Canis lupus familiaris: one gene and its partners. The main gene of each other region encodes a partner of the protein of the gene in region 5 in a complex. Links are inferred from orthologs where the notes say so. Each region holds a gene or a part of one and is shown on either strand. Other genes may lie near its edges. The genes, in order: RNF25, RLIM, RNF125, MUL1 and UBE2D2.

Region 1 (4,077 bases), on a different chromosome or scaffold from region 5:
CACCATGGGAGATCTACATCACCCTGCACCCTGCCACTGCAGAAGACCAGAATTCACAGTATGTGTGCTTCACCCTGGTGCTTCAGGTCCCAACACAGGTGAGGCCCCTGCCTTGTGGCAGCAAAGGGAGAAAGGAGAGAGGCTCTGGGGTGGAGTGCTTTAGCAGTAACATCATTTCCTCCCACTAGTACCCCAATGAGGTGCCACAGATCTCTATCCGTAACCCCCGAGGACTCTCAGATGAACAGATCCACAAGTAAGCTGGGCTGGTCAGGGCAGGGAAAATGGGCTGCAGCTCAGTCTGGTGAGGGGAGGGAGCAGGCCTAATGTTTGCTTTGCCCTTTTCCAGGATTTCACAGGCACTGAGCCACGTGGCCAATGCTGGGCTGGGTACTGCTATGCTCTATGAACTCATCGAGGTAAGAGGTGTGCTAGCTCGGGAAACTCCTAGAGCTGTTTCTCTTAGGGGAGGTAATGGGCCTAGGATCTTACATACATCTGGAGTCATTCATTTACTCTTGTTTAGGTGAGGCCTAAATCCAGAAAGATGAAATTTTCTGTTACCAAGAATCCTACCACCCCCCCAAAAGAGAGTTCCCTAGCTTCCCCAAGTGGCCTATGCTAGTATCCTAAAAATGACTTTGCCTTTATAACTTGAATTTTTCTTGATTCTGCTTCAAGGCATTCTCTGGGCACTGGCAACCGAAAGTAGCAAGAGATAGAGACCTTGCCTAGAGAGTCTCACCACAAATAAAAATTTGAAGGCTAGTCTGCCATTGCAGTGGACTAGGACTAAAAAAGTCATGGTTCTTTTACTCAGTTTCTCCCCTAATGAAGTTAACAACCCACAGAGAACACCTAAAGCTACAAGTTCACATACACAGACAACTTCTGTTGCTTGAGATTAAAAACACAATTAAGTACAGTCTTGTTTCAAAACTTCAAAACTTTGACTTTTGAAGAAAAATGTTCAGAAAAGAATGAAGGTGGGCGGCCTGGAGTCCGAGTGGCTTAGACCACTGTAGCACTCCTGAGCCCGGCCTCCACAATGCCACTTTGAGCTTTGTGGAATTCCAGAATATTAGCTATTCAAACAACAGTGCAAAGGAGTTTGTTTGCAGCCCAACTTGATGCCCTTGAGTTCTCTGTTCATTTGGGTTGTCCATGCCTCAACTTTTTCTGGAAGCTGGCTCGAAGAACAGACCTCTTAGAGTGATAATCAGAGGGGGTTAACCAAAGAAGACCTCCCAGAAGATAAGAGTTTCAATTGAACATTCTGTTCTCTCGAGGCATATTATTTTCATCCCTGAGGTGTACTAAAGGTGATTTATGAAGTGGAAAAACAGCAAAATTGGATTGTGCGGCTGGGTTGATGTGGCAGGAGGGGCAGGGACGCGGAGGACTGATTCCAGGGGGAGGACACCTCCCCGAGACAGGAATGCATGAACACAAAGTAACATGCTAGCTTAGTAGGAGACATTCCCGCATTCACCCCTGGGAATAGTAGAACCCTGGCTGTGTTCCCAGTTCTTGCCCCTGCCTCCCTGTTTGAAATGTCTTCTCTCCTCTCAGAAAGGGAAGGAAATTCTCACAGACAATAATATCCCCCATGGCCAGTGCGTCATCTGCCTCTATGATTTCCAGGTGGGTTTCTCCCTTGGGACCTGGCGTCTGCTTGGGCTGGCAGTGGAGGACTCATGAGAGCTCCGGCGCCATGCCCTGTGTCTCCTCCCTTCAGGAGAAGGAGGCCTTTACCAAAACACCCTGTTACCACTACTTCCACTGCCACTGCCTTGCTCGATACATCCAGCACATGGAGCGTGAGCTACAGGCTCAAGGCCAGGAGCAGGAGCAGGAACGGCAGCATGCCGCAACCAAGCAGGTCAGCTTGCCAGCCCCTGCTCTCACCTGACCGCCTCACACCCTTTTCTGTCCCTCGACTCCAGGGGCTCTTCGCCTTTTTGGGGTCACAGATCCCTTTGAAATTTGAAAGCTCACCTCTGTCCAGAAAAAAGGGTGTTCTTATATACATGTATACATGCTGTGTGCAGTTTCAGAGTTCCCAGACCTCTATCTGGGGAGGCAACCCCTGCCCTATCCTGCCTCAATGTGCCTGTGCCCTTCATCCCTGCCCTGTTCAGATTAGCCTGGCTGACTGGGTTGGGCAGCTGGCAAGCGAGCACTATGGGCCGTGAAGCAGGGCTGTGATTTCTCTATTTTTAGAAGGCAGTCGGTGTGCAGTGTCCGGTGTGCAGAGAGCCCCTTGTATATGATCTTGCCTCACTGAAAGCAGCCCCTGAACCCCAACAGCCCATGGTAAGGAAATTCCCTTGTCATCTGAGCCAGGAATAATGGCATCCTCCAAGGAGGGAGGGATGGCATCTTATCTTCCTCAAATGGGACCTCCAGAATTGGGCTTGACCTGCCTGGGACCCTGCAGAGCTACAGCCCCAACTAGGCTGAGGCTTTGAGAGCCCAGATCTGAGAGGCAAACCCAAGAACCTCAAGCAGATCTGAGGCAGTCCTGAAAGAGCAGGGATTCGAGTCTGCCTTCTATTTTTTTTTTCCCCGCTCTCACTCTGCTCACTGCCTTCCAGGAGCTATACCAGCCCAGCGCAGAGAGCCTGCGCCAACAAGAAGAGCGCAAGCGGCTCTACCAGAGGCAGCAGGAGCGGGGAGGCATCATTGACCTTGAGGCTGAGCGTAACCGGTACTTCATCAGCCTCCAGCAGGTGAGGGAAGCCTTCCTCACACCTCCCTTACTGCCCCCTACCTTCCCAGCAGCGCCCCTCTGCCATGGCCCTAGGGAGAGCTCTGTTCTACCCTTAAGGTTAGAGGCTGATGGCAGTCAGCCTCAGCTGTGAGCAAGGGGCCTACAGCTCCCTGCTTTGGGAAACTACACCTCCCTCACTGCATCTGCTCATTTCTTTCTAGCCTCCTGCCCCTGTGGAGCCGGAGTCGGCTGTAGATGCCTCCAGAGGATCCCAGCCACCCAGTGCCCTTGCCTCAGAACTGTCCACCTCATCAACTGCCCAGCCCAACCTGTCAGCTCCTCTGCCTGTGGCCTCCCAGTACACGTGTGAGAAGATTCCAGGGGCTGGGCCAAATCAGCAAAGGTTGGGCGAGACCCAGAAAGCTATGATAGATCCCCCCCGGGCCAGTCGAGGCCCCTGGAAACAGCCTGAACGGAGGCACCTAAAGGGAGGGGAGTGCCATGCCCACAAAGGTACCAGTGACACCCAGGAACTGCCACCTCCTGAGGGGCCCCTCAAGGAGCCCATGGACCTAAAGCCAGAACCCTGTAGCCAAGGGGTTGAAGGTCCTCCCCAAGAGAAGGGGCCTGGCAACTGGCAGGGTCCCCCACCCCGCAGGACTCGGGACTGTGCTCGCTGGGAGCGCTCCAAGGCTCGGACACCGGGTTCTTCCTACCCCCGCCTGCCTCGGGGTCGGGGAGCCTTTCGTCCTGGTACTCGGAGGGAGCCCCTGAGCATGGAGTCTGAGGACGGTTCCTAGCAGTACTGTGGGGGGCAGGGATTTGGGGGGGCAGGGAGGGGCAATAAAGAGATTTGGCCTTGTTTGGCTTTCTTTGCTTAGTAGCGCCTAGCCTGTACAGTATGGCTTTTTCTGAATCTCTAGCAAGACCTGAGTGGGAGACTAGCTCCAACTTTGCCCTGAAGTCCCATTTTCCCAAGAGATCAAGTTCTGAATAAAGATAGGCCTGACACCTCAGCCAGCGTGGTGGGTTTCAGGAAAACTAGTAGATGCCAACATCTAAGCAGAACATGCAAGAATATGATGTGCACACACCCACCGTGTATATGTCCACATTTTTATGTATATACATTTTTTTAAAACCGAATGCCTTTAGATCGAAGACTGTACTTCCCTGTTTACCATGGTGTCTCTTCCAGCTTTGCCTTAGCTTATACCCCCAGCACTGGCCTCTGTGGATGCCTGAGGGCCCCTGCCTTTGACCTAAGTACCAATACAGGGAGGCAGGGAGGGAGGCCAGAAAGCAGAGTGGTGTGGCAGGTGTTTATTGATCTAGAGGAGAAGCGCTGAGCACAGCTTGCCCGT
Region 2 (3,508 bases), on a different chromosome or scaffold from region 5:
GACTTCTTTTTTTCTTATTTCTGATTCCAAGATTATGTTCCAGTCATAATCCTCCAAAGCTGTCCTTGGGTAAAATAGTCAGTTTAGGACTTTGTGCTTGGTGATTCTTTTTTGCCAAGTTAGGTCCCATTTGATCCTGATTAAAATTCATTATCTCCGGTGCTCCTCCATTCTATTTAGTTCTAACCTTTGAGTTATTGTATACATTTTAAAACGTAAGGTGTTAGGAGAGGGAGTGCATTTTGAGCCAACCATACCAGACTTGAATCAGGATGCTGAAGTTGGTATTCTGGCCCTGCCATTTCTTAATACATCAGTCTATCACTTAGTCTCAGTTTCCTTATTTTAAAATGCAGATAATAATTTCCACCTCCCAGAGTTAGAGTTTAAAAGCGTGGGATAAAAAAAAAATAAAAAAAAAAAATAAAAGCGTGGGATATCGTATGCAAAAGCACTTAGTAAACTGGAAAGAAACTTGGCATAAATTGTAATGTCATGCCCCCAAAGAAGTAAATTTTATCCAGGTTCCTACTCCATCGCCATTTTTATTTGTAATTTGGCAAACATTTCTAAACTATTTTCAGGTGAAAGTACTGAGGAAGAGTTGCTGAGAAGACTACAACAAATTAAAGAGGGCCCACCACCACAAAACTCAGATGAAAACAGAGGTATATTTTGTTTTGGGTGGGGGTGGGTAGGGGCTGAAGTAGATCAGGAACTACTGGAAATGTCAGCCAAAGATTATCCAGAAACAGGACAAATTAATTTAGTGCTAAGGAACTGTTAACAAAAAAGAGAACTGGCATTTTCTTGGTATTTGGCGAAAATGTCAACATGTTTTTTTTTTCTGCTTCACCTTTGAGTTTATATTAATTGAGACATAGTGAAAAATGGCCTATTTAAATGTGTTGGATTTTTTTTTTATTTTGCATCTCCGTTGAAATTTCCTCCCACCTACTGAATTATTTCTTCCTTATAAACATGTGCACTTTCCACCAGCAGAAAGAAATGCTGTATTCTCTAACCTGATGGTTCTCAATGGATTATATCTCCACCCCTGTCCCAGGGACACTGGCAATGTCTTTAGACATTTTTGGTTGTTGTCACAGCTAGGGGTTTGCTACTAGTATCTAGTGGGTGGAGGCCAAGGATGCTGGCAAACATCACAACATACTAAAACTCATTAACAGCGCAGCCCCCACAACAAAGAATTATCTGGCTCAAAATGGAAATAGTGCCACTGTTGAGAAATCCTGCTTTTAATTTGAAGTAGGATTGTAGGAAATTTCACTGTCTGACATAGGCTATAATAATAATTTGGTTCTTGAGCATGCCATTATATATACCATGCTAGGTGCAAACTGTTCATTTGGTCTGATCTCTAATTTTGTGTTAATTTAAAATCTTGGCAATAAAGTATTAGAATACTTTTGAAGCAGTAAGCCCTGTTTCTATTTTTGCAGTGGCCACAGCAGTCTTGTATTTTAAAAGTCCTGTATTATCAAAGGCACTTAAGTCAGGATCCTAGAGGAAATGTAGACTAATGAAAATTTGACAAAAATGCAATTTGAACTAAAATACTAGCCCTGTACCCTAACTGGCATTTACCTTGTTTGATTAATGTTTTGACAGTGGACTCAAAAAATGTCTTCTGACAGTCCACAGTGGTATCATAAGCTCTGTATATGATGAAATACTGAAAATAGACTTCCTCCTGATTCCCTTTAGATAAACTTTCCCTAAATTTCTTTAGGAATAGCTTGCTCTTTCAAAATGGAATTGGAAAAAAATGGAATTGAAAGATTCCTGCCTTTACTTGCAAATCTATGCAGTATAGTTCACAAAAATCTGTAAATGTGAAATCTATTCAGAATCTTTGTCCTTTTTTTCTAACACAGTTTCAGAGTACTATTACATGATTGTCCTAATTTTAGTAGTTCCTGTTTCTCCCTCTTCCCTCCCTTTTTTAAAAACAGGTGGAGACTCTTCAGATGATGTATCTAATGGTGACTCTATAATAGACTGGCTTAACTCTGTCAGACAAACTGGAAATACAACAAGAAGTGGGCAAAGAGGAAACCAATCTTGGAGAGCAGTGAGCCGGACTAATCCAAACAGTGGTGATTTCAGATTCAGCTTAGAGATCAATGTTAACCGTAATAATGGGAGCCAAAATCCAGAGAATGAAAATGAGCCATCTGCAAGACGTTCTGGTGGAGAAAATACAGACAACAGCAGCCAAAGGCAAGTCGAAAATCCACGATCTGAACCAACATCCACAAGGCCATCCAGATCAGAACGAAATTCAACTGAAGCGTTAACGGGAGAAGTCGCACCTACCAGAGGTCAGAGAAGGGCAAGAAGCAGGAGTCCAGATCATCGGAGAACCCGAGCAAGAGCTGAAAGAAGTAGGTCACCTCTGCATCCAATGAGTGAAATTCCACGAAGATCTCATCATAGTATCTCATCTCAGACTTTTGAGCATCCTTTGGTGAATGAGACCGAGGGAAGTTCTAGAACCCGGCACCATGTGACATTGAGACAGCAAATAAGTGGACCCGATTTGCTAAGTAGAGGTCTTTTTGCAGCTTCTGGAACAAGAAATGCCTCCCAAGGAGCAGGTTCTTCAGACACAGCCAGCAGTGGTGAATCTACAGGATCAGGACAGAGACCTCCAACCATAGTCCTTGATCTTCAAGTAAGAAGAGTTCGTCCCGGGGAATACCGGCAGAGGGATAGTATAGCTAGCAGAACTCGGTCAAGGTCTCAGACTCCAAACAATACCGTCACTTACGAAAGTGAACGAGGAGGTTTTAGGCGTACATTTTCACGTTCTGAACGGGCAGGTGTGAGAACCTATGTCAGTACCATCAGAATTCCGATTCGTAGAATTTTAAATACTGGTTTAAGTGAGACTACATCTGTTGCAATTCAGACCATGTTAAGGCAGATAATGACAGGTTTTGGCGAGCTAAGCTATTTTATGTACAGTGATAGTGATTCAGAGCCTAGTGGCTCAGTCTCAAGTCGAAATGTGGAAAGGGCAGAGTCACGGAATGGAAGAGGGGGTTCTGGTGGTAGTAGCAGTTCTGGTTCCAGTTCGAGTTCCAGTTCGAGTTCCAGTTCAAGCTCCAGTTCTAGTTCCAGTTCCAGTCCTAGTTCCAGTTCCAGTGGTGAAAGTTCAGAGACTAGCTCAGAGGTGTTTGAAGGCAGTAACGAAGGAAGCTCATCATCAGGCTCATCGGGTGCCAGGCGAGAGGGTCGACACAGGGCCCCGGTAACATTTGATGAAAGTGGCTCTTTGCCCTTCCTTAGTCTGGCTCAGTTTTTCCTCTTAAATGAGGATGATGATGACCAACCTAGAGGACTCACCAAAGAACAGATTGACAACTTGGCAATGAGAAGTTTTGGTGAAAACGATGCATTAAAAACCTGTAGTGTTTGCATTACAGAATATACAGAAGGCAACAAACTTCGTAAACTACCTTGTTCCCATGAGTACCATGTC
Region 3 (4,165 bases), on a different chromosome or scaffold from region 5:
TATCATCTGAAATGATCTTGCTCATTTACTCGTTGATTACTTACATCTTCTTATTAAAAGCAAAGTCGGGGGGAAACTGGGTTAAGTTTATGGGATTACTATGTATTACATGTATTGTTGTGTGATGGGTTGTGTGGATCATATATTACTAGGTGTTATTTATAAATAAATGATAAGCATGTTGGGGCAGCCCTGGTTGCTCAGCGGTTTTGCGCCGCCTTCAGCCCAGGGCCTGATCCTGGAGAGACCGGGGATCGAGTCCCACGTCGGGCTCCCTGCCTGGAGCCTGCTTCTCCCTCTGCCTGTGTCTCTGCCTCTCTCTCTCTGTGTGTGTCTTATGAATAAATGAATGAAATCTTAAAAAAAAAGATATTAAGAAAATGATAAGCATGTGAATCTGTAATTATCTCAACCAAAGTCAACATTTTTGGTTTTGTTTTTTTAAAATAAGTTCTGTGGGAACGGGGATTTTGTCTCCTGGTCAGAATTGTGTTCCCATCACCAGAACAAAGTCTGCTATGCAGTGGGCACTAAAGAAGTCTTATTAAATGTGTGGCTTTTTTAAAAATAATATTTTATTTATTATTTGAGAGAGAGAGAGAGAGAGAGAGAGAGAGTGCACAAGCAGAGGGGAAAGGGCAGAGGAGGCAGAGAGAGAAGCAGCAGGGAGTCCGCGGTGGGGCTTGATCCGAGGACCCGGAGATCATGGCCAAGCAGAAGGCAGATGCTTAACCGACTGGGCCTCCCAGGCGCCCAGGTATGGCTCATTAAATGATGTATTTGGTCATGGCTAAAAGAGGGAGGGGCAGGGAGTAGGGGCAACAGCGGGACACCCTGCGCCCAGGAAACTGAGGCAGTAGAATTTATAGCACTAGAACCCTTATCGTCGTGAGTTGGGATCCGAACCCGGGTCTCAGAACCTTTTGCACGCCGCGTGCTAGCCCTCCCCCCGTGGGGCGCCGACTGCGGCCCGAGCGCAGGGGGGCGCGGTCTCGGGAGCCGCTCGGTGCCAGCCCGCGGCCGGGGCGCGCTGGGGTCGCAGCCGCGCAGGGCGGACGCGAGCATCACCTCCCGCGGGGCCCCTGCGTCGCGGCCGGCGGGGCCGGCTCCACCCTCTCCGGAGCTCGCCAGAACGCGGTACGGACGCGCGCGACAGCCCGCCGGCCGCCCCGCCGCTCCGGGCCCTGCGGGGGAGGTTTCAGGTTTCAGCCCTCGCAGGAGCCGGGCCGTGGCAGCGCGCACCGTGCGGCCGCCCCCGCCTCCTTGTGTCGGCCGCGGCCGCGCGCTCGTCGGCCCTGGACGGAGGTGGGGCGCCGGGCCGCGGCCGCCGCCGGGCTGCTGTCGCCGGGCGCGCGGGGAGGCGGCGGTCGCCGCTGGGCCGGGACTTCCTTCCTCTGCCGCAGGACAGCAAAACAACCCGGCCGCGGGCGCGGAGCTGCCGGCCGCTGTCTGGGCGAGAGGCGCCGCGATGGGCTCCGTGCTGAGCAGCGACAGCGCCAAAGCCGCCCCCGCCTCGGCCGCCCCCCGGGCCCTGGAGCGCAGCGGGGACCCCGAGCTGCCCGTCACGTCCTTCGACTGCTCCGTGTGCCTCGAGGTGCTGCACCAGCCCGTCCGGACCCGCTGCGGCCACGTGTGAGTGCGGGGGGAGCTCGGCTTGCGCGCCCGCTTCTGGGGAGGGCGAGGCCGGGGGAGCCCGCGCGTGGGAACGGAGCTCCTGCGGGGGACACACCCGGACCCGGCGAGCCCGGGCCGCGGGGAAGGCGACCTGTCGGAAGGTGACACAGGCATGCAGGAGGCGAAAACAGAAACAGGCGGGCGCCGCGGCGCCTCCCCGCCAGGCCCCGAGGCGCTGCTTGCCCCAAGCCCAGGTGCGGAGCCCCAGACCGGGTGCCCAGGCGCAGGAGCCGCCGGGGGCCGGGGCCGTCAGCTGGGGAGGGTGCCCTTGGCTGGACGGCCGGCACCCGCTTGGACACAGGGCAGTGGGCTTCTGCAGAGCAATCACCCCGCCGAGCTCAATCAATCGGGAGGTGCTGCCCCCTCCCCACCCCCCGCCGCCCCGCAGGTCGGTTTTGTTTTGCTGGCCCTGCACGTGTTCCAGGACGCCCACTGGGGCAGCCTCTTGAGCAAACAAAGATCCGTGCAAACTGTCCTTCCACCTCCACCTCCCCCTCCCCATCCTAATGCACACACTCAGGCCCTTCAAAGATCAGCTCAACAGGCGGAGTGACCTCGTAGCCCTTAGACTTTAAGTGCCTGTCGGGGTGGGGCCGGGACCTGAGAACCTTAGCGCCAGGCCCTTGAGTGTAGCCCTTTAAAATCTAACCACAGAGTGACAGGAGTTTGCAGACTCCCTGCCTCACGCGGCGCTTCCCTAAAATCGATGGAAAGCAGAGATAAAAATTAGTCGTTTCTAAAAAGAGTTTGAAAACAAAATCCCTATATAAAATTGGCCCGTCCTTAATGTGTGCTGGGGCCACTAGTGATGGGAGTTGGACCTGTGGTTTCGTGTTCTGTTTCCGCAGAAGCTTGCTTTCCGTGGCTGCCTGGGTGTGTGAGTGAGTGTGTGCCTGTTGGGGGTGGGTGGGGTGCGGGGAGTTGCACAGAGTGAGAACGGAAGCCCACTTAATGTCTTCTTTGGCTGACTAGAGTTTGATGAAGCGCCAGGGCAATACCGCAATGGCTAGTAAGTGCTTCTGGCTTAGCAAGGGGGGAAAAACCCATATTATAAATGCAAGTGCACAAAATGTTTTCAAAAAGACTTAGATGGTTCTTGACACCTATAGACTAGTGACTGAGAAGCACCATGAAAACCTCGGTGGTGAGCCAAGAAGGAAAAATGCAGCCCACATAGTGTTTAAATAAAGAGTGCCCTGGGCATTATTTTGTGGCTGTGTTTTCAAGGCCTGTTGTTTCAGCGTTGTACTTTAAACTCAAGCCTAATTGGCCTCCAGACTGATTACTGATGTTGTTTCCCAGCTGTCCAGATGTAGCTCATGATATGAAATCCCAAGGCCAAGATGGAAGCCGAGATAGCATCGTGTAACAGTATAATATATTGATTAGTTGGGACAGTAATCATCCCCGGGTAGCTATGGGTAAATTTAGGCTGTGCATTAAAACTTTAAAGTTGCACCAGGAATGCGCAGCGGGCATCGAGTCTTGAAAGTTCCTTCTGTAGAACTGAATTGGATGACTTTGATATTGGAGGTTGTTATCTGATTGAGGATTGTTTTCCCTGGTTTGGATTTTTTAAAAATATTTTACTTATTTATTCACGAGAGACACAGAGAGAGGCAGAGACACAGGCAGAGGGAGAAGCAGGCTCCATGCAAGGAGCCCAGTGTGGGACTCGAAGTGGAACTGGATCCCAGACTCCAGGATCACGCCCGGGCCCAAGGGAGGCGCTAAATCACTGAGCCACCCAGGGATCCCACCTGGTTTGGATTTTGAATGCCATAACTTACTGTTTGTAGTGTTTTTGCTTCTGCTAAAGGATAATGTAAATGTGTAAAAAGTTAAATCTTTTGTTTAATCTTTTTCTTTGTTAGAGTTTGAATAGGAAACCAGCAACTGGAAAAAATAGTCATGAAGTAGCACAAGGGCTGGATGAATTGCCTTCCCTCACTTTACTGTTCTTTGTTTTGACAAATCTATGTCCATTGTTCTGGCTGTGGGCAGAATTTCCATATTCCTCCTTTTGGCAAATTTACTTGGGCCCCTTCCACTTTATAAATGTTAACTAGAGTTCCTTCTCCACTGGGAATGGTGAGTGCTGTTAACACCATTTGTGTACTTCCTAAATAAATTTACTCTCCTCCATTGACCCTAAATTGGAAAATGGAGAAATGCAAATGAAATCTCTGTATGTTATCTCCTATTGAAGCTAATTTCCAAACTTGTTGAACTCGTTGGTTTATGCTGATTTCTGCTCATAAACCTATTTCGAGTCAATCAAGTACTTAATAATGACAAAAATACATTGAATGAGTATGTATATAGCACTCTATAAATTGTAGAAACAGTGGGACTGAGAGAGAGCAGTATTTGAAATTCAGCCCTGCCACTGACTGGTTGTGTGACCACCATGGGGCTATCTCTTTGACTGCTTCTTCATTTGTACAATAGGGTGAATAATGGAATTTTTATGAGTATTTTAAAAATGTAA
Region 4 (4,129 bases), about 44 Mb from region 5:
AAGCAGGCCTCACGCAGGGAGCCCGATGCAGGACTTGATCCCTGGACCCCAGGATCACATCCTTGGCCGAAGGCAGGCACTAAACCGCTGAGCCACCCAGGGATCCCCTGTCCCTGTCCCTTTGCCAACACAATGTGTTATTAACTTTTGGACAAGTTCCATTAAAAAAAAATAATAAAGTTAGGTTTAACTTTAAGTGTATGTGTGTGTACCAAATTCATGATCACCTCTTAGTTGAAAACCATCAAAAAGTATCTGGGGGCAGGAACAATCTGGAGATTCTAACCCCACGTTCACAGAAAAGCAATTCTCATTGGATTCCAAGGATAATTAAGGAATGTGGTAGGAAAATGTCACGGACAACCAATTTCTTTAATAAAGAGACTTTACTTTTGGGGAGCAACCTACAGATGTCAGATGCCTTTTACATATATATTGCTTTTGACCAGCGGGTACATTCCTACACCTCCAAGAATTTTTTTAAAGCGTAACCAGGAGGAGCTAACTTGGATGAACACCTTGATGTTTTGGGTCAGGTTTTGGGTTATCTTCTGATTATTTCAGTAAGGAGATCACTAAAGAGGTCAGAAGATAGTCTGAAATCGGCTCCACAGTCGTGGTGTGAGGATTAAATAGGATGTCTGTAAACACAGACACAGAAACAGGCACCATAAAGCAGCTGTAATTATTAGCTGACAAACAATAGGTTGTTATATGGGGGTGATGACAGATTAAGGGGCTACTTTGGTGATAAAATCTGCCTTCTTGGCTGTAAGGGCTCTGGGAGCCCAATAAATTCCTCTCTTGCACTCACCAGCAGTGCAACTGTGAGCACATCCCCTAATGTCCCCGGCCTCACTCTTCGCATCTGCAAAGTGGGAAGAAAAAAAAAAAAATTCCAAGGCTCAAGGTTTGCCCTGAGCTTAAAGGTGCAACACTCCCAAGGGCTTGCTACACACTAGTCCTCTTCTTTTCCTCCCCCCCTAAAGAGGCGGAGGTTTAGGAGTCTCATTAGTCTCGGTGGAGCCATCACGAGCCCATCAAACACCCCAACAATAACCCCAGGAAACCAGAGCGACCCGAGCACGACCAGCGCGGCTCCCAAGGGCAAAGGGTCACCAGAGACCCGCGATCTCGGACTTCCGGTCAGCCCCCTCGCCCCGCCTCTCGGCGACGGAGACCCCGCCCCCGCGGAGGCCGCCGCAGCCGGGCGGTCACCCGGGCAACGCCGCCTTCCGGTCCGCGCGGCCCCGCCCACTTCCGGCCCCGGCGTCGTTGCGTCAACGCCGGGCGACGCGGAGCGGGTCTCCGGAAGGGCGGCGTGGGGGGCGCGGTTCCGGGCGGAGGGCGGCGGAGCGTGAGGGCGCGCGGCCTGACCTCGGCGTCGCCGCGGGCACCCGGGGCTCCGCGCCAGCCATGGAGAGCGGGGGGCGGCCCTCGCTGGGCCAGTTCATCCTCCTGGGCACCAGCTCTGTCGTCACCGCCGTCCTGTACTCCGTGTACCGGCAGAAGGCCCAGGTCGCCCAGGAGCTCAAGGTCAGTGCTGGGGCCAGCCTGGCCTCCGCCGGCTCGACCCTGCCCCCCGGTAACGGTGGGCCCGCCCTTCGCCTCCGGCCGGAAACCGCCCCAGGGCGGAAACCGGCTCCTGAGAGGTGTCGCCCCGCCGGTCTCGGTGGGGGCGCGGCGAGCAGAACTCGGGTCACGTGATAACCGCTCCACCTGCCCCTCTTCCTCTCAGTCCCTCTCCTCACCCGGAATCGCGACTGGATTACATCATTCGACAAATTCTTAGCGGGCCGCCTGCTCTGCTCCAGGCCCTGGGGCTCCTGCACGGCTAGAAGAGACCAAAAGTCTCTGCCCTCATGGAGATTCCAGTCTGGTACAGACAGACAAGTACATCGGATGGGGTGACAGATGGGGAGGAAAATAGGACAGAATGAGGCGGGGAAGAGAGGAAATGCGGTGCCGGAGAAAGGGAGGTGTGCTATTTTAAAGAAGGTGACATTTAACAGAGCCCAGGAGGAGGTGAGGGAGACCGTGCAGGTGTCTGGGGGGAAGAACAGTTCAGATGGAGGGAACAGCAAGTGCAGAAACCCTAGACTTTGCCCATTTATGTAACCACTCAGTTCCTTGTTCCTACAGACTCTTCCTTTTTTGATGGTTTAGTTACTTTAAAAATAACACTTTCTTTCTTAGTCTGCCCTTTCCAGCTTAGCACATTCTCATCTTGTTTTTTTTTTTTTTTTCTCCTTCACAATCATTTTTTTTTTTTTTGAGGTATGGAAAATGACAGTCATCTCCAGATTGCAAATGGGGAAATTATTGAGACTCCCGGGAAAAGTCTTAACAGCTCCTCAAGTTGGAACTTAGGTCTTTGGATTCCAAGTGTGGGATTATTATTATTTTTTCTTTTCTTTTTTCCTTTCCTTTCCTGATTGACCGCATTGCTTTACTGTGACGGTCTGACTGGCCCATGAGAGATGGACCTCTTTAGGTCGGAGACAGGGTCTTACGTATGCTTTTTCTTCTAGGTTGTAAGTCAGTGCCTGACAAGTGGTAGACGCTCACCGAATGTTTGTGGATTCCTTTTGGCTGAAATGTCACGATACCACAGTTAGGGCTTCGCTTGACGTTTATTTGAAGGATTCCTAAACCTGGCTTAGTTCATTATCACCATATTGTTTTCAATAAAAGGGCTCAGGAACCAATGTGTGAAATCCCTGCCGTCAAGGGGAGTTTGGGAATGCATCTGGATCGAACCAGGTTACCAAGCAGTTAGATTTGTGGTGCAAATGGCGTCCTAGTGAGATTCCAGCTGCCCAGTTGTTTGATTATAAACAGGTTACTGCTGAAGTCATGTGCCAGGAGTGTAACTGATACTCCACTTTCTGACTCTAAAAGTCTGAAATCAGGTTGGCATCAAGCTGGCTGAATGTGGGACCTTTGAAGCAGTGAACTCTCCAGGATCTATTTTTGGGTGGCCTTAAAAGTTTTGCCAGTTAGTTCCCAAATGAAGTTGAAACAGCCCCTTCCTGGAAAGAGTTGGGATTCCTAATATTTTAGGTTCTGTTTTCTTGATCAGATTACAAAACTCGCAGAGTAGGTTTGAGTCTTAACCTTGTGCATCTCTCGTAGTGATGGGAATGCATATTTATTGCCTGCCTATTATGTGCCAGCCCCTGGGCTAGATTCCTTCACACCTTACACATCATTGAACACACATAAAAATCCAGTGATAGTTTTATCTCCATTTTTTTTTTTTTACAGCTTTGGCAATTGAGACTCAGGTAAATTAAGTTGCTCAAAGTCACAATAGATGGACTGAAGGTTGATTCAAGTGTCTTTCCAACCGTATTCCCTCTCCCCTTTAAAAAATTCTAACTGGCCATCCTGTGGTGGATGCTGTACCAGCTGTGTGACTTGGGGCAAAGCATTTCATATCTCTGAGCCTCAGTTTCCTTATCTGTAATTGGGGCTAATAATGTCTGCTGTATAGGGGTGGTAGGAGCATTGCATGAATTTACGCGTGTAAAGTGTTTAGCGTAGTGCCTGGTACATACAGTTGACCTTTGAACAACATGGGTTTGAACTGTGCAGGTCCACTTACACGCAGATTATTTTCAACAAATACAGTATTATAAATGTATTTTCTTATATTTATTTATTTATTAAAGATTTTATTTATTCCTGAGAGATACAGAGAGAGAAGCAGAGACACAGGCAGAGGGAGAAGCAGGCTCCCTGCGGGGAGCCCGATGCAGGACTCGATCCCAGGACCCTGGGATCACAACCTGAGCCAAAGGTAGACACTCAACCACTGAGCCACCCAGGGGCCCCTTCTCATGATTTTTTAAAAATATATATTTTTTAAATTTTATTTACTTATTCATGAGAATACACAGGAGAGAGAAGCAGAGACACAGGCAGAGGGAGACACAGGCTCCATGTAGGGACCCTGATGTGGGACTCGATCCCGGGTCTCCAGGATCACACCCCGGGCCGAAGGCGGCACCAAACCGCTGAGCCACCGGGGCTGCCCTAAAAAATATTTTCTTTTCTTTAGCTTGTTTTATTACAGGAATACAGCATATAACCTACAAAATGTGTTGATTAACTGCTTATGTTATCA
Region 5 (4,165 bases):
CATTTGGCAGGATCCTTCCCTTAGGAGCTCCAGTTTCTCCTCTCGAAATTCAGGTTAGAAATCAATGATCTAGACATAGGAAGAATAGTTTTCTTCCAGACATAGGAAAGAGCAGTTTTAGAATCAGATAAGCCTTGGGATGAAGTTGAGAATGTGGGCATCACTCACCAGGAAAATAATCCTTAACTATTATTCTCCATTGTCTCCAGCCAGGCTAAGTACCTCCCAGCCTAGGCTTGAACTTATATCTCACTGGTCGTGGTGTAGGGCTCTACACACACTAGTTACTCGGGGAATTCACATTTGTCTCATCCTCCTAAAAAGCAGGCTAGCTCCTGATGGTGATCTGAACCACATGGTTAGTTTTAACTCCTGGAGCACACAGTACACCGTTTTTCTTCTGAGGTTAATTGGTGCAGTGCTTGTTTGTAACAATTCACCAAGCAAAGAAAGGCCTACCTAAGAGATCTTGCAGTTGTCATGCTGCTGGGTGGGGCTTTGGCTAGAAAGGCCAAGGGCGGGCAGCCCAGGTGGCCCAGCGGTTTAGCGCCGCCTTCAGCCCAGGGCATGATCCTGGAGACCGGGGATCGAGTCCCACGTCGGGCTCCCTGCATGGAGCCTGCTTCTCCCTCTGCCTGTGTCTCTGTCTCTGTGTCTCTCATGAATAAATAAATAGAAATTTTAAAAAGAAAGAAAGGCCAGAGGCGGGCTGGGAAAAAAAAAAAAAAAAAAAGACACATCCCCAACAGGTGCCCAGGCTGTTACCACGAGGCTTGGAAGTCCCGGCTTTGCCTCTGTAGAGCTGTGTGACCTTGGGCAAGTCCCTTCCTCCTACAGGAACGTTGTAGTGGACCGGTACCCCCTCCCGGGTCAGTCTGTGCTACGGCGCTGACCAGGTGGATCCGGAAAACATTCGCCTTTACACGTTTATGAACACGCGCGTAGGGCACCAGAGGCCAGGGACTCAAGGCTGCCGTCGCGCGAGCATCTACCACCCGCTCCATAAATCTCGCGAGACTGCTCCCCTGCGCTTCGCGGCGTCATCCTCTCGGCGGCCGCGGCGGCGAAGGCGACCGCGCGTAAGACACTAACAGGGGCGGCCCGTATCCTTCCGCCGCCGGCGCGGTCCGGCCCTCCCTCCCCTCGCCCGCCAATCCCCGGGCCTCCCGACCTGCCCCTCGGCCTGGACCCACCCCGCGCTCCGGCGGCCCCACCCCGGCGGCGCCGCCCGCCCGTCCGCCCGCGAGTGCCTCCGTCCACCTGCAGCAGGCAGTCCCTCTGGCTGTTCCACTGAGCGGCGCCGGCCGAGCCCGAGGCTTGGGCTCTTGCTCCCCGGCGGAGGGATCCACGGCGGCTGAGGAGGCGGCGCTGAGACTAGGTGGAAGAGGCAGCTACGGCGGCGGCGGCGGCGGCGGCGGCGGCGGCTCGGGCGGCAGCGCATAAAGGGGCCGCCGCCGGGTGATGCGGTGACCGCTGCGGCAGGCTCAGGAGCCAAGTGGGCCTCGGCCCGCAGTCGGTCCTGCCAGGCTCGCGCTCGCGAACCCCCCGTCTTCTCCGGCCGACCCGCGGTCACTGAGGCGGCCTCGCGCCCCCTCGCCCCTTCCCCGTCCCTCCCCTGCCCCCGTCCCCGCCCCGGGGGCCGCCGCCACCCGTCTCCCACGATGGCTTTGAAGAGAATCCACAAGGTAAGCGGCCGGAGGTCGGCTGAGGGTTCCGGCCGCTGGGCGGGCTAGCTGAGCAGGCTGCGGCCTGCACTTCCCGCCGTCGCCTCCGCCCGGCTCGCGGCCTCTTCGGACCCGGCTGCCGGCGGCGGTGGTCCTGCCGGGCGCCCTTCACACCCCACTCCCAGTGATGGCGCCGGTAGAGGCCCCGGTACGCAGCCCGCGCTCAGGCCGCAGGTTCGCCAGCCGGCTCAGCGTGCCTCCCTGGCCTCCTTTCTAGGCCCCGCGTGGTGTGGAGCCCCAGGGCCTCTGCCCGGCCTGGGACTGCTGCGCTAGAGGGCCATTGTCCGGCCATGCCGGGAGGGGGAGCTGGGCTGGGGCGCTGAGCTGTCCCATTGACAGAGGTCGAAAGGGCTCCTCGCCCCACGTCTGCCCGTGTCCCCCGACTCCCGCCTCCCGCCCACCTGCCCTGGTTCCCTCCTCGGAGCCGCCTGAGCTTGGAGCCCACGTCTCAGGCACACGTAGGAAGCCTTTTTGTCCGATCCACAAGTATTCCTTGAGTTTACTTACCTCTTGGCGGCCGCGCACTTCGGTCCACTCCACTCGTCCAGAAACTTAAAGAGTAGGAAGTTCAGAAGGAAAACAAAACAAAACAAACATGACTCTTGAGGGAGGAGGGAAGTAGAAAGAGGTTTTGTTCTTTGAGGTTGCCTAAATGTAGTCTGAAATTAAACTTTTATAGGAATGGATCTAATAGAAAAACGTAAATTTGCAAGGATAGAAGTAGAAACCTGAACATTGAAAACCGCTGAAGGAATTACACAAAGTTTCCCTTTACTGTCTCTTTATACGGTGGATTTTAACGCGTAAATTACGTCATATGTTCAGGGAGACCCTTTGAATTTAGAAGGAATTTTGCTCAATTTTTTCTATTCGAAAGGGTGTCTTTGCCCTTTAAGAGGAAAGGTTATTTAGTTATTTGTATGAAGGTTTTCCGTATACTGATTCTACCTTATGGGCTTGGCTCTAAATTTAGAGTACCCCCAATATTGTAACACTCCTGGAGCCTCTGACTATCCTGTCTTTTTCTTAAAAGTGAGAAGTACTAATGATGATTTTTGTTTGGTTTTACTTAGCTCCTTGGAGAAGCTCTATCAAACCTTTAGCCACTTATAAATAGATCCCGGGATTATCCATCGGGAGGAATGGGATGGAGATGTACCGGGAAGAGAACAAATATTCATTGCCCTAAACTCAGGGCAAATACAGACTGTTGGACAATTAAAACACCTCAGTTTGCAGTGGATTTTCATTTCATTCATGCTCAAAGACCTTTAACGTGGAATTAATCCTAATGGTTACTGTAAATTAGGTTAGATCCTTACTAGCTTGTTTGGATTTCTTTGATTTCTAACAAATGAAGAAAGGCAGAGTTCAGAGTAAATCTTGCATTAAAATGAAGCAGGTTATTTGTTAAAAGGAGCTTGCAATTTAATCAAAGAATTCTTAAAGAACTATTTAAGGGACAGGAGCATACTGAGGAATCATCATCCAAATAAAAATGTATATGTATTTTTAAGGTTTGTTTTGTTTTTTTTTTAAGATTTATTTATTTATTTATTTGTGAGAGACACAGACTGAGAGAGAGAGGCAGAGACAGGCAGAGGGAGAAGAGGTTCCTCACAGGGAGCCTGATGCTGGTCTCTATCCCGGATCCTGGGATCACGACCTGAGCGGAAAAAAGGCACCCAACTGCTGAGCCACCCAGGCGTCCGTGTGTTTTTAAGGCTTTTAGTAGTTTTTATAGGGTCTCAATGGGTTATCAATTTGAGATTGTAACTGTAGAAGACTGCTCTTTTTTTTTTTTCAACTCCTCTCTCCATGTTCTTACTCTAAAACCTGAAGAGGAGTATGTATGATAATTTGCAGATCAATAAATATACCTTTTAATCTCTATGTTAATTGATATGTATTCTATTTTTTCAGAGAAAGGAACTCAAAACATGTACTTTAATCTCATATACTTGCCCCAGTAATTAGTTTCTTTTGAGTTGCTACATATTCTCTAGATTTTCTCTAAAATATAAAAATTTCAATAAGATCAAGTTTAGGCAATGATACTTTGAACTTTTAAAACTCAGTAATTAGCCTTTTTCCCCCCTGTTTTATAACTTAAGGCCCTCCTCAAAGTATGGCTCAACTTCTGAGACTACCGGGGAATAGAAAAATAAAATTTATTTTGGTATACTAGTCAGTAAGATTGTGAAAACAAAATGGAGATTCCCCCCCCCCCCAATTTTTTGTATAATAGCAATTTTAAGTTGAAGTCAGACTTACTTAGGTATGGGTAAGACTAGTTCTTACTATCTTCTTGGCCCTAGTAATGTATCTACAGTGGAATCCCAAAAAAACTTAACTTGGCTTATGTAATTGATCTTGATCTTGAACCTTTTCAACTATCATTCTCTGAAAATACAGTTCTACTTAAAAATACTCTGTTAATG

The links.
Region 1: the proteins of UBE2D2 (region 5) and RNF25 are in contact, whole or in part, in a crystal structure (PDB 5D1K), measured with the Homo sapiens proteins. The link is inferred for Canis lupus familiaris from reciprocal best matches to the Homo sapiens genes UBE2D2 and RNF25. Residues at the interface, in NP_003330.1 of Homo sapiens: Leu3, Lys4, Arg5, His7, Lys8, Glu9, Leu10, Asn11, Asp12, Arg15, Ser22, Pro25, Gln34, Thr36, Val49, Phe51, Asp59, Pro61, Phe62, Lys63, Phe69, Thr70, Thr71, Arg72, Ser80, Asn81, Gly82, Gln92, Ser94, Pro95; in NP_071898.2 of Homo sapiens: Val136, Ile137, Cys138, Leu139, Tyr140, Cys161, Arg164, Tyr165, His168, Pro199, Val200, Arg202, Gln220, Met222, Glu223, Leu224, Tyr225, Gln226, Arg238, Leu241, Tyr242, Arg244, Gln245, Arg248, Gly249, Gly250, Ile251, Ile252, Leu254.
Region 2: the proteins of UBE2D2 (region 5) and RLIM are in contact, whole or in part, in a crystal structure (PDB 6W7Z), measured with the Homo sapiens proteins. The link is inferred for Canis lupus familiaris from reciprocal best matches to the Homo sapiens genes UBE2D2 and RLIM. Residues at the interface, in NP_003330.1 of Homo sapiens: Met1, Arg5, Lys8, Glu9, Asp59, Pro61, Phe62, Lys63, Ile88, Gln92, Trp93, Ser94, Pro95, Ala96, Leu97, Thr98; in NP_057204.2 of Homo sapiens: Ser571, Val572, Ile574, His595, Cys596, Arg599, Trp600, Glu603, Pro608, Ile609, Arg611.
Region 3: the proteins of UBE2D2 (region 5) and RNF125 are in contact, whole or in part, in a crystal structure (PDB 8GBQ), measured with the Homo sapiens proteins. The link is inferred for Canis lupus familiaris from reciprocal best matches to the Homo sapiens genes UBE2D2 and RNF125. Residues at the interface, in NP_003330.1 of Homo sapiens: Leu3, Lys4, Arg5, His7, Lys8, Glu9, Asn11, Pro61, Phe62, Lys63, Ile88, Gln92, Ser94, Pro95, Ala96, Leu97, Thr98; in NP_060301.2 of Homo sapiens: Ala38, Val39, Cys40, Leu41, Glu42, Cys60, Thr63, Ser64, Asn67, Pro73, Tyr74, Arg76, Glu102, Tyr122, Lys125, Tyr126.
Region 4: the proteins of UBE2D2 (region 5) and MUL1 are in contact, whole or in part, in a crystal structure (PDB 6M2C), measured with the Homo sapiens proteins. The link is inferred for Canis lupus familiaris from reciprocal best matches to the Homo sapiens genes UBE2D2 and MUL1. Residues at the interface, in NP_003330.1 of Homo sapiens: Met1, Arg5, Lys8, Glu9, Asp12, Phe62, Ser91, Gln92, Trp93, Ser94, Pro95, Ala96; in NP_078820.2 of Homo sapiens: Val303, Val304, Cys305, Leu306, Cys326, Ala329, Leu330, Pro331, Pro337, Ile338, Arg340.

The regions. Positions count from the first base shown.
Region 1 is NC_049258.1:25,142,133-25,146,209, reverse strand, and holds the end of RNF25 (E3 ubiquitin-protein ligase RNF25), read left to right. Parts: coding exon 1-98; intron 99-188; coding exon 189-256; intron 257-349; coding exon 350-419; intron 420-1,572; coding exon 1,573-1,644; intron 1,645-1,738; coding exon 1,739-1,882; intron 1,883-2,223; coding exon 2,224-2,316; intron 2,317-2,597; coding exon 2,598-2,732; intron 2,733-2,934; coding exon 2,935-3,513; 3' UTR 3,514-3,575; downstream 3,576-4,077. Other genes in the region: BCS1L (mitochondrial chaperone BCS1), read right to left, coding at 4,077-4,077. UniProt on the Homo sapiens protein: E3 ubiquitin-protein ligase that plays a key role in the RNF14-RNF25 translation quality control pathway, a pathway that takes place when a ribosome has stalled during translation, and which promotes ubiquitination and degradation of translation factors on stalled ribosomes.
Region 2 is NC_049260.1:58,030,012-58,033,519, reverse strand, and holds part of RLIM (E3 ubiquitin-protein ligase RLIM), read left to right. Parts: intron 1-584; coding exon 585-668; intron 669-1,976; coding exon 1,977-3,508. UniProt on the Homo sapiens protein: E3 ubiquitin-protein ligase.
Region 3 is NC_049228.1:57,578,701-57,582,865, reverse strand, and holds the start of RNF125 (E3 ubiquitin-protein ligase RNF125), read left to right. Parts: upstream 1-1,360; 5' UTR 1,361-1,468; coding exon 1,469-1,632; intron 1,633-4,165. UniProt on the Homo sapiens protein: E3 ubiquitin-protein ligase that mediates ubiquitination and subsequent proteasomal degradation of target proteins, such as RIGI, MAVS/IPS1, IFIH1/MDA5, JAK1 and p53/TP53.
Region 4 is NC_049223.1:77,793,525-77,797,653, forward strand, and holds the start of MUL1 (mitochondrial ubiquitin ligase activator of NFKB 1), read left to right. Parts: upstream 1-1,325; 5' UTR 1,326-1,416; coding exon 1,417-1,536; intron 1,537-4,129. UniProt on the Homo sapiens protein: Exhibits weak E3 ubiquitin-protein ligase activity. E3 ubiquitin ligases accept ubiquitin from an E2 ubiquitin-conjugating enzyme in the form of a thioester and then directly transfer the ubiquitin to targeted substrates.
Region 5 is NC_049223.1:33,951,316-33,955,480, forward strand, and holds the start of UBE2D2 (ubiquitin-conjugating enzyme E2 D2), read left to right. Parts: upstream 1-1,359; 5' UTR 1,360-1,661; coding exon 1,662-1,685; intron 1,686-4,165.